Linked DNA regions of Nothobranchius furzeri. The protein of the gene in region 2 purifies or fractionates together with the protein of the main gene of each other region. This does not show direct contact. Links are inferred from orthologs where the notes say so. Each region holds a gene or a part of one and is shown on either strand. Other genes may lie near its edges.

The links.
Region 1: the proteins of claspin (region 2) and timeless purify together in Homo sapiens (affinity purification with western blotting; 4 studies listed by BioGRID). This does not show direct contact. The link is inferred for Nothobranchius furzeri from reciprocal best matches to the Homo sapiens genes CLSPN and TIMELESS.
Region 3: the proteins of claspin (region 2) and cdc45 purify together in Homo sapiens (affinity purification with western blotting; 4 studies listed by BioGRID and IntAct, with this or other methods). This does not show direct contact. The link is inferred for Nothobranchius furzeri from reciprocal best matches to the Homo sapiens genes CLSPN and CDC45.

What each region holds. Positions count from the first base shown.
Region 1 is NC_091743.1:49,124,151-49,127,800, reverse strand, and holds part of timeless (protein timeless homolog), read right to left. Parts: intron 3,611-3,650; coding exon 3,496-3,610; intron 3,420-3,495; coding exon 3,218-3,419; intron 3,142-3,217; coding exon 3,002-3,141; intron 2,885-3,001; coding exon 2,805-2,884; intron 2,599-2,804; coding exon 2,475-2,598; intron 1-2,474. UniProt on the Homo sapiens protein: Plays an important role in the control of DNA replication, maintenance of replication fork stability, maintenance of genome stability throughout normal DNA replication, DNA repair and in the regulation of the circadian clock.
Region 2 is NC_091759.1:26,753,967-26,757,716, reverse strand, and holds the start of claspin, read right to left. Parts: upstream 2,600-3,750; 5' UTR 2,465-2,599; coding exon 2,438-2,464; intron 1,842-2,437; coding exon 1,733-1,841; intron 1,657-1,732; coding exon 1,334-1,656; intron 1,253-1,333; coding exon 1,106-1,252; intron 990-1,105; coding exon 930-989; intron 850-929; coding exon 777-849; intron 698-776; coding exon 595-697; intron 1-594.
Region 3 is NC_091757.1:55,442,688-55,446,337, reverse strand, and holds part of cdc45 (cell division control protein 45 homolog), read right to left. Parts: intron 2,732-3,650; coding exon 2,639-2,731; intron 2,543-2,638; coding exon 2,405-2,542; intron 2,306-2,404; coding exon 2,159-2,305; intron 1,147-2,158; coding exon 1,088-1,146; intron 1,016-1,087; coding exon 967-1,015; intron 890-966; coding exon 828-889; intron 734-827; coding exon 683-733; intron 604-682; coding exon 484-603; intron 412-483; coding exon 280-411; intron 190-279; coding exon 91-189; intron 1-90. UniProt on the Homo sapiens protein: Required for initiation of chromosomal DNA replication. Core component of CDC45-MCM-GINS (CMG) helicase, the molecular machine that unwinds template DNA during replication, and around which the replisome is built.

The DNA.
Region 1 (3,650 bases), on a different chromosome or scaffold from region 2:
TTCCAGGGACTAGAAGCGAACCACATCACAGCTGAGCTTCAGGTGGCATGTACTGAGTCTTATTTCCTGATATTTGGACATCCATCCCTGGATTGTATAAAATTCCCTGGATTGTATAAAATCAACATGACTACCACTGACTTGCAACACTGATGTTTTATCTCCACAAATAACACGAGTTTGAAGGAGTGTTGCTGTGTGGTGGAGTTGCTAATGCTAACGGTTAGCTTCTGCAAGTCGAGACAATCTCTGATGTTTAATGGACACTAAACTAACAACAACCATCCTTGTTGCGAGTCCATGAATTTTAAAGGGATTAATGCAACTTTTTCATATTTTTAAACCATTTTCTTGTGCCCCACCCCCTATCGCCCTCTGTGGTCAGAATATTTCACTTGCAGCTTCACAGTTGCAGGTCCAGTCTGATGGACTTAAACTTGAGCTTACACACCTGGGTCCAGCACGTTTCCTGCATGTTTTAGATCAAGAACACAGCTGATTTGTTTAATTTAGTGATAAATCTCCCCTGTAGACACTAAAGAAGGCTGGGAGACGTTTCAGCTGTTAGATTAAGATTATTAAAGACGAACGCACAACGAGGAGATTGGTTTTGGTTCTACAAACGGACATGAGGGGGTGCTAAAAGCAAGCCAAAACTGCCTCGTCTCTCTGTAAGTGACACTGACGTAGATCTGTCAGGGTTTTTTAATCCTAGAGTTTCAACGTCTATTTTCTATCAGAAGCTGGCGCAGGAGGTACAGTGGGGCAAAAAAGTATTTAGTCAGCCACCGACTGGGCAAGTTCTCCCACTTAAAATGATGACAGAGGTCAGTAATTTTCATCATAGGTACACTTCAACTGTGAGAGACAGAATGTGAAAAAAAAAATCCATGAATTCACATGGCAGGATTTTTAAAGAATTTTTTTGTAAATCAGGGTGGAAAATAAGTATTTGGTCAATAACAAAAATTCAACTCAATACTTAGTAACATAACCTTTGTTGGCAATAACAGAGGTCAAACAATTACTATAGATCTTTACCAGGTTTGCACACACAGTAGCTGGTATTTTGGCCCATTCCTCCATGCAGATCTTCTCGAGAGCAGTGATGTTTTGGGGCTGTCGCCAAGCAACACAAACTTTCAACTCCCTCCACAGATGTTCTATGGGGTTGAGGTCTGGAGACTGGCTAGGCCACTCCAGGACTTTCAAATGCTTCTTACGGAGCCACTCCTTTGTTGCCCGGGCGGTGTGTTTGGGATCATTGTCGTGTTGGAAGACCCAGCCACGTTTCATCTTCAAAGCTCTCACTGATGGAAGGAGGTTTTGGCTCAGAATCTCACGATACATGGCCCCATTCATTCTGTCCTTAACACAGATCAGTCGTCCTGTCCCCTTAGCAGAAAAACAGCCCCAAAGCATGATGTTCCCACCCCCATGCTTCACAGTAGGTATGGTGTTGTTGGGATGCAACTCAGTATTCTTCTTCCTCCAAACACGACGAGTTGAGTTTATACCAAAAAGTTCTACTTTGGTTTCATCTGACCACATGACATTCTCCCAATCCTCTGCTGTATCATCCATGTGCTCTCTGGCAAACTTCAGACGGGCCTGGACATGCGCTGGCTTCAGCAGCAGAACACGTCTGGCACTGCAGGATTTGATTCCCTGCCGTTGTAGTGTGCTACTGATGGTGACCTTTGTTACCGTGGTCCCAGCTCTCTGCAGGTCATTCACCAGGTCCCCCCGTGTGGTTCTGGGATTCTTGCTCACCGTTCTCATGATCATTTTGACCCCACGGGATGAGATCTTGCGTGGAGCCCCAGATCGAGGGAGATTATCAGTGGTCTTGTATGTCTTCCATTTTCTGACAATTGCTCCCACAGTATATTTTTTCACAGCAAGCTGCTTGCCTATTGTAGATTCACTCTTCCCAGTCTGGTGCAGGTCTACAATTCTTTTCCTGGTGTCCTTCGAAAGCTCTTTGGTCTTGGCCATAGTGGAGTTTGGATTCTGACTGTTTGAGGCTGTGGACAGGTGTCTTTTTTACAGATAATGAGTTCAAACAGGTGCCATTAATACAGGTGAGGACAGGTGAGTGGAGGACAGAAAAGCTTCTTAAAGAAGACGTTACAGGTGTGCGAGAGCCAGAAATTTTCCTTGTTTGAAGTGACCAAATACTTATTTTCCACCCTGATTTACAAATAAATTCTTTAAAAATCCTGCCATGTGAATTCATGGATTTTTTTTCACATTCTGTCTCTCACAGTTGAAGTGTACCTATGATGTAAATTACGGACCTCTGTCATCATTTTAAGTGGGAGAACTTGCACAATCGGTGGTTGACTAAATACTTTTTTGCCCCACTGTAGGTGTAGGAGACTATTTTCATGCTCAGCCTGCATGAATAACTCAGACAGATTCTAATCAGAAATAATCATAAAAAATATTTTTTCCGTGTTCTAAGTTCTTACTTCTGTTTCTTTAGTTCTTTGGCGTTGTCCACTAGACCCATGTGCACCAGCTGAGTCACCACATGTCGCCGAGTGCGGGCGCTGTTGCTGATTAACGACAGGAGAGTCTCCACGATGTCTGGCACTAGAAACAGAAACGGTTTCTTGAGTTTTTTGTTTAAGGCGACTCATTATTTGTTTTACTAGCAGCGTAACCCAGAAACAACAAGTCCCAAATATGAAACTAACTTAATGCAACATTGTTGTTTATAATCAGTGAACACATCTCATCCTCCTGGTGGTCATCTCAATCTGGTGACTAGTAACACAACAATAAAGATCAAGGCAGACCTTCTGAGTCCCGGTGCTCCAGGTAGAGCTTCCGCAGCTCCTCCTCCTCTTCTTCGGTCCACGTTGGCTTCTTCCCCTCGCTGAAACATTTAGAACAATGACAAAAGTGACAAACATAAACACACAAGCCCTAGGTTGCATTTTTAGTTTGTAAACAACGTCTGCTTGATAAACACAAACAAAAGCAGAACTCTCACCCCTCCTTCCTGTAGCCTTCGGTCATCTCGCGTACAGCCCCCACGTTCTTCCAGAAGAGCAGTTCCACATACGCCTTGTTGTTCTGAGCCGCCACTGAGAAGAAGCGGTTCACCACGTACTTGGAGAAGGTCACTAGTTCCTGTGAAGGAAGAAAAACAGGATTGTCTCTCACGTCTGACCAACAGTAGATTGGAGAAGCAGCGGTACCGACGCACCTTGTACGCGGCTGCAGCTGGATCGCTCATGATTCGATTGAAAATGTAGAAGACCGACAGCTGGAAGAGCAGGGCGTCCATTTTCAGGTCGACAGCCAAGCGGTGCAGCATTCGCGCTATGCAGTGGTTTGTGTGGGGGGTGTTTTTAGAGTAAGACTTTAACAGCAGCAGGTAAGGACGTACGACGGCGGGGTTGGCAAACCTATCAGAGTGGAGATGAGACAGAAGCTGTTAGGAGACTGTACCCACCCAGAGACGACGCTTTTACCCTCGCTCACCTTCTGAGGAAGTCCAAAAAGTTAAACTCTTTTTCAGTGACTTGAACAGACATCAACTCTTCCTCTTCTAACTCGACTCCATCATCCTCATCCTCCACTGTCTCAGGAGGTGGTCCTGAAATTAAAACGAGGAGCTAACAAGCTGCACAGATGCA
Region 2 (3,750 bases):
AACCCAGGGCCGCGTCGACCCAACCCAACCCAGGGCCGCGTCGACCCAACCCAACCCAGGGCCGCGTCGACCCAACCCAACCCAGGGCCGCGTCGACCCAACCCAGGGCCGCATCGACTCAACCCAGGGCCGTGTCGACCCAACCCAACCCAGGGCCGCGTCGACCCAACCCAGGGCCGCGTCGACCCAACCCAGGGCCGCGTCGACCCAACCCAGGGCCGCGTCGACCCAACCCAACCCAGGGCCGCGTCGACCCAACCCAGGGCCGCGTCGACCCAACCCAGGGCCGCGTCGACCCAACCCAACCCAGGGCCGCGTCGACCCAACCCAACCCAGGGCCGCGTCGACCCAACCCAGGGCCGCGTCGACCCAACCCAACCCAGGGCCGCGTCGACCCAACCCAGGGCCGCGTCGACCCAACCCAACCCAGGGCCGCGTCGACCCAACCCAACCCAGGGCCGCGTCAACCCAACCCAACCCAGGGCCGCGTCAACCCAACCCAACCCAGGGCCGAGTCGACCCAACCCAACCCAGGGCCGCGTCGACCCAACCCAGGGCCGCGCCAACGCAGGGCTACTAGTTGTTACTGTTTACTTCAGCAGCGCCATGGCCGATCCCTCCGGCCGGGTCCTCCTCTTGAAGAACTGCTCGATGGTTTTGGGTTCAGGGATGTGGTATGGCAACCCAAGCGTCGACTCTACAGACGCAGAGAAACGTTTAGCGTGTTGCAGATCAAACCCCTGCAGCTAAAGCAGAGCAGAGCCAGGGGAACTGACCTCGGACCAGCCTCTGGCTCTCACTGTGAAGCTGCTTCATCGCCTCCTTGCTGGCTCGAGCTGCTTTCCGTTCCTGGAGCCCCCAGAGACAATCAGTTTATTCTACCTTCAGTCCGAGTCGTCTACCTGGTCTAACGTGGTGCTGTATCCTACCGCTCGCTGGGGCTTCTCTGGGACCTCTTCATCCTCCTCCTCTTCCTCCAGGAGGGGGTCCTACAGTCACATTTAACAAGTTTAGTCAAAACTTCCTCCTGAAACACGTCCGGACTCTTCTCATCCAGAACACGAGCGGAGTTAGGGTCAGAGTGACGTAAACATCTTGTTCTTACTTTGTGTTTCTTCACTTTCTGTCTGACCGCAGCTCTGATGGCGTCCAGAGACTCCTCCTCCTCCTCCTCCTCCAGACCGGTGCTAAACAGCTCTGGATCACCCAGAGGACAGCCGCTGTCGTTCAGCGCTGGAGGAAGAGGAACGTCCTGATGGAAAGAGCAAAAGGTGACCAGTTTATTTTTAAGATTTCTGGATTTATTTGGATGAAAATTTCAGACGGAACTCACCTCCTCTCCTCCACCAGACCTCCTTCTCCTTTTCAGGCTTTCCACCACTTTGCTGCGTTTTTCTTTCTTCTTTCGATGCCTTTGACTCTTCTCTCTTTTATTCTCCTCCTCTTCCTCGTGCTCTCCATCGCTACCATCAGATGCACGAGCCTTTCTGTTGCTCCTCTGTCCTCCTTTATTCCTCCTCTCTTCGTCCTCACTAGAGGCAGGTACCGCTTCTTCAGACAGCTCCAGGCGTCTTGGTGCCTCCTCTTCCTCACTGTCACTGTCTCTGATGGCGTTACGCCGAGGCTTCCTGTGAACTGTGATGTCATCATCTGAATCTGAGAGAAAAACTGATTTAGGGGACCACGGTTTCTCCTGATTGTCCACGAGCGTCCTGCAGCAGGTCTGTCTCACCTGGACACTCATCTCCTCTATCAGACGTCTCTGGGACCTCCTCCTCTGCAGGAGGACCCATCCCGCTGTCCCAGTGGCTCTGTGGTGCTGCTCGGGCCAACGCCTCAGTCTGAAGAGAGACAGACTTCAGAGCCTGTGTGTGTGTGTGTGTGTGTGTGTGTGTGTGTGTGTGTGTGTGTGTGTGTGTGTGTGTGTGTGTGTGTGTGCGTGTGTGTGTGTGTGTGTGAGAACCGGGTCTAGAACCCGTAGCTGTTCCACCTCTCACACCAGAGCCGTTTGACCTGGTTCGGACTGGTTTCCGGGCCACAGAGAGACACTGGTCTGGGACCAGTCCTGATCAGAAACACGGTCTGGGTCAAGGCGGACTAGCTGATCCCAGACCAGCTGCTAGCCGGATTCATGGCGCCTTCGGTCAGTAAAACAATGAATCAACGTCACAGCTGGATAACCGTGTCGGACCGAACGCCCAGCTGTCCGGTAACGGCTACCGGACCTTCGGACTGTTTGATGTGACTTTTTAACGGAGCTCTACCGAATTAGAACGAGGTGAACGGAAGAACCGATTCCTCGGTGTTAGCAGCTAAGCGGCTAACAGCACCTTAGCACCTTGTTGGTGACGTTTCCCTCCAGCACGCTGAACACACACCTGTCTCACATGTACCTGTCTGTACACCTTCCACTGACGCCGCCTGCTAGCGTCTTTACCTGCAGGTGAGACAGGACAAGGCTCATCTTTGTGCTCCGGTTGGTCCGCCCGCTCCCGGCAGGGACGAGGCTCCGTCCGCTCCTCTAACGGCTACAGCCGCTACCGACACCGAGAACAACGTGTCCGTGAAAAGAACTCTACTGCAGCTCCTTACCGAACAGCTAGGCCGCGTTTTACCGGACAGCTCCGCTTCCTCCCGCCTCACCCGCTCACCGAACACAAAGTTTACACTTTCGCGCGCCGTGACAGCTGGCCCGCGGTCTTTCACCAGCGAGCTGTCAGTCCAGCGCTTCTCGCCCTGCTATTGGACCATCTGTGACGGAGGTATCCGCCCAGTGTGACGACACAGTTAGTGGAGGAATTAAAACATCCACCAGCGCTGCGCAGGCGGGCGGCTAAGTTTGCTGCGCCCCACAGGATTCAGGCTTGTACTGTTTTTGAGACAGCGCCGCCCACTGTTAGCTAGCGTTCCAAGATGGAGTACGATCGGAAAGTTTTTTATTTTTGTTTCTACAAACAACTTCAATTAAATAAATATGATAAAAGCTTTTATTATTAAAATTTACTCAGGAATTTTCAAATTTGTATTCTGAGAACTACTTCACTGAAGCGTTAACAACGAATAAACTATTTTAATAAGCTTCACCGACAATTACATATTATTTATAAATAACGGTTAAGCTTGAATCTGCAGTTGCAGTTACACGTTGATCCTTTAGAGGTCGCTGTCTCAAAACAGTACAAGCCTGAATCTGCGGTCTCCGGGTCTTCTGTAAGTGCACTTGGGCACGTGCGCAGGCTCGAGTGCACGACCGTGCGTTAGAAGAATCTCACCCCTCTCTCTGCAGTACGCTCAACATAGAAATACGACAATAGATGAACCCCGACTGGTTTCTGGTGGTACGCTGACCTCCTCAACACAGGTCCTGGAGAGACATCACTTTCCTCTGCTTTTCATGTCCTCCTATGGCAGGCACCATCTCTGCTTGAGCCACAACAGCTTGCCTTCTCACCACATTGTTCCTCCTAAAAGGCGTCTTTGCTCTTCAGCAGATTATGACGGTACCTTCTGAGTTTACGACCTTCAGGTCTTACTTCATATGATCTTGGGTCAGCTTACTGAGGAACAATGGCGTTTCTGCTCCATGCATTTTGATCTTGGCCTCTCACCACATCATCCTTTGTAAGCAGTCTAAGTGCCCTTGTGGTCTTGTCATAATGCTGTTTTTGTCTGCATTTTAGATTCTCTTGTTTTTCCAGAATCCATGCCATCCCAGTCTCTGACTCAGACCAAGGTAGGCTCCTTAACTTC
Region 3 (3,650 bases), on a different chromosome or scaffold from region 2:
CTTTATAAGAGCTTAGTCTTAACCGCTGCTGAATCACACCATGTCAGAGATAAAAAGCAAAGGAAGCGTTGAACAAGTCCGCATCCATACCCAAATTTATTAGAGGACTCTTCAATGACGTCTCTTAGGTTCTCCTTTATCGACATGTCCATGGATGTATATTTTTGTTTCACTTGTTTCAGAGGTAACCTGTAAACAACAACACAAAAAGAAATGAAGCATCAGATGCTGCCGTCTCTCTACTGCTGACACACGAAGCACCGGTTTGAAAATGCGTACCCCATATCAGCCAAGAACTCTCGCAGTTTCTTCTGGCCGTTTAAAGTCCAAAGCTTAAAGCTACTGGAGGTGTAGCAAGAATTACAGATGCTCTCATACAGAGACCAGTGCTGGTAGAGGCTGAGACGCAGGCTGGATCACGGGGTTAAGAAAAACAGAACGGAAAAAAACCCAAAGATCTGTTAGAAGATAAAGAAAGGATACTCGTATTCAAAGGAGATCCTCATGCAGTCGATGGATAAAGAGTTCTCCTCGTCCTCATTTCGGTGGTTATGTCGGGAAACATGCCGCTGCATCGTTGCGACATCTGTTACGTATTTCATGCTGAAAAGGAAATAAAACTCTAACCACGAGCCATTTGTTGCAAACATTTACAGAAAACCTTTAGAAAGCGAATCCTCACTGTGTGATCTTGTCGTGAATCTGCTGGTCCGTCAGCCCGATGATGGCCCACCTGTAGACGCAAACACGGATTTTAACGGAACGGTGCCGCGTGCATTTCTGTGATCTGGAAGTCGTTTATAGAAATGTTTAATTTGAAAGCTCACCAGAGCATGTCCTTGGTGTCTTTCGTTAGAACCCAGGCGAGCTCGAAAAACATCATCGCAGCCTGAGAGTCAAAGGCAGATGATGGGTTTGTGTATAGTTTATATCAGCTGAAGCTCAGGATCTGAGTTGTGTACTCACAGAGGTCCCGTGGAACTCGAACTGTTCATAGTCGAACAAGATTTCCCTCCTGAGAAACTTCAAAAGGTTAGACACACATCACAGATATCTCACTGTTCAATAAAAACAGACAAAATCTCACCTCCGTGCCTCCCACTCCCTCCTCGCTCTCTGCCTTTCAATTCTCCTCTCAATCGCCCCCTGCCACGACACAATCCCGACACAAGCATTAGGCCCTGTCCACACGTAGCCGGGGATCTGACCAGGCCCACCCATCCACTGATTGGCTGGGAGGGGCTTGGCCTAGAGTCGCTGCTCTTCTAGCCTAGAGAGGTGATGCAGGGTTTTCCCTGTTTATGATGTCACAAACGGGGACTTTCTGAAACTTCTTGCTTAAGGCAAATAATTCCTAAATCCAAATACTTACAGAAAAAAAAATGGACAGATGTTTTTTCACCTGTGGAGTGTTTTTAGAGGCAGTAGAGAGCCACAGGGCAGCACAAAGTGCTCCAAAAGGTGAATTCAGCACAATATGTCCTATGTCCACAAGCCTTAGGTCCTGTCCACACGTAGCCGGGGATCTGCCAAAACGTAGATATTTTTCTACGTTTTGGCCTGTCATCCACAAGAAAACGGAGTTTTTTCACACGAAAACGGATCTTTTTAAAAACTCCGGCCAAAGTGAAGATCTGCGTTTTCTCCGTTTTGGGTGTCTGCGTGTGGACGGACAAAACCGGAGTTTTAAGGTCCGCAACGTCACTTTCCGCGACCAAAAATGCTGACATCACGTGTGCGACCTGTGTTTACACCAGCCGACAGCATGGATGCCTTCAGAGCTGCGCTCGCTTTATCAATTGTCCAAGCGCTTTCTGCTTGTTTGTTTTTGCAAGCAGAATTACTGCTCCTTACGGAAGACCACAGACGAAGGACGAGGTTAAGAACGGGGGAAGTACTGCCGCCTACAGGTCTGGCATGTCCTTAACAACGTATTTATCCGGGTACGTGTGGACAGTTTTTTTTTAAACGAGGTGGTGTGGATGCAAGTTTTTGGAGGGGCAGATATTCGTTTTTAAAAAAAAAACCGGCTACGTGTGGACTAGGCCTAAGTCAGCCTCGCTGTCTTCTTCTTCAATCAATTTCCCTCTGGGATTAATAAAGTATTTTTGAATTGAATTCTGGCATCCTTTCTGCAGCGTCTGCTAATGCTCCTCACTTCATCAAACCTCCTCCGCTTTCCGGACGGCTCTGAGCCTTCGTCGCTGTCGTTTCCAGAGCCGTCATCTTCCTCCTCGTCGTCTCGAAAGATGTCGTCGTACGACGGCACGCCCAGATCGTCGTCCTGTTTGATTAGCAGTTTAATCTGTGGAGGGGACGAATGACGGTTAAGTAGGGAGTAAGTTCAATATGAGGGGATTAAAGTTTGCGGTTAGTCCTCTAAAACCTGATCATCCTACATCACCTGAGTGTCGTTATAGACATTAACCACGTCCACGGGACGGTGAGTATCACAGATGAAGAAGATGGAGTCATCATCTGGCTGCAGCATCTCAAGGAGGTCAACATTCGCCCCGCAGTTGATGAGAACAAAGTATCGAAACTACAAAACAATCAAAACATTTATTTCACAGTTTTTGTCCTAATCAGCCTTCTGTTGTACATATCCACGAGTAGACTCAAGTGTGTTGTTATTGACCTGCTCTTTGTGTTCAAGGAAGGCGGTGGAGAGATCCTGCCAGCCGATCACCGGCACCAGGGTGTACTGAATGTGGTCGCAATGAAACAGCGCCTAATAAAAACACAAACATGAAAGCTTTGAAAATGTTCAAAGCGGAGTCGTGCAACTGGAAATTACGTCGATTAGTATTTAATTTGGTTTTAGTTGAACACAGAGAAACCAGGCCTGAGAGGGACAAGACTCACACCACCTGTTCCACCTCCTGCCCTCTGGCACACGCGACAGGTCCATTTGATCCAAGACAGACTTTATACATCACACAAGATGTATAAATAAAATCACCACCCTGAATCAACCCATGCACCAGTCGCTTTATACACAACAACATACGTAGTTATTTTATCGTGTCTTGTTTTGTGAATTTTACTTACCCTACACTTTCCTCCTGTATTATTTCTATTTTTGTCTTCTTTTTTTCCCTTTAACTCATCATACGAGCTGTAAAGGTAGTTTAAGCAACTTTTTTGTTCAAGGTTTCACCACAAGGTGGCACTGTGACTTTGTGAATGACCTAGAAAGTTTATTTAACATGTTTATTTAAAGTATTATTTTTCTTGTTTTCAATACATTTTGTAGCATTTACAGGTGCACAGAAGTAATAATTGTTGATGTTTGAGTAATTTTGAATTGCTTTATTTGATAAGTTGTGTTTAAAGAGCAAGTCACCCCCTACCAGAGTCTAACTCCACTCCCGCTTCCTGTTTGAAAAATGCAACAAATGCTGTTGCCTGGCAGACTGAGAGGGCGGAGCCGCTAACAAATACACACACACACAGGCTCACGACAGCATTGTGACATCATAATGTACCAGTTTACATCATAGCCTACCTGTTAGCCAATAGCGGTGGCAGATTTAAATTCAAATATAGTGCAGAGTTTTTACCTGACGACGGCACAACACTGACAGTTTTAGAAGAAGAAGAAGAAAATATCATTTCTAAAGCGCCTCTCAAGATAAAAATCACGAGGC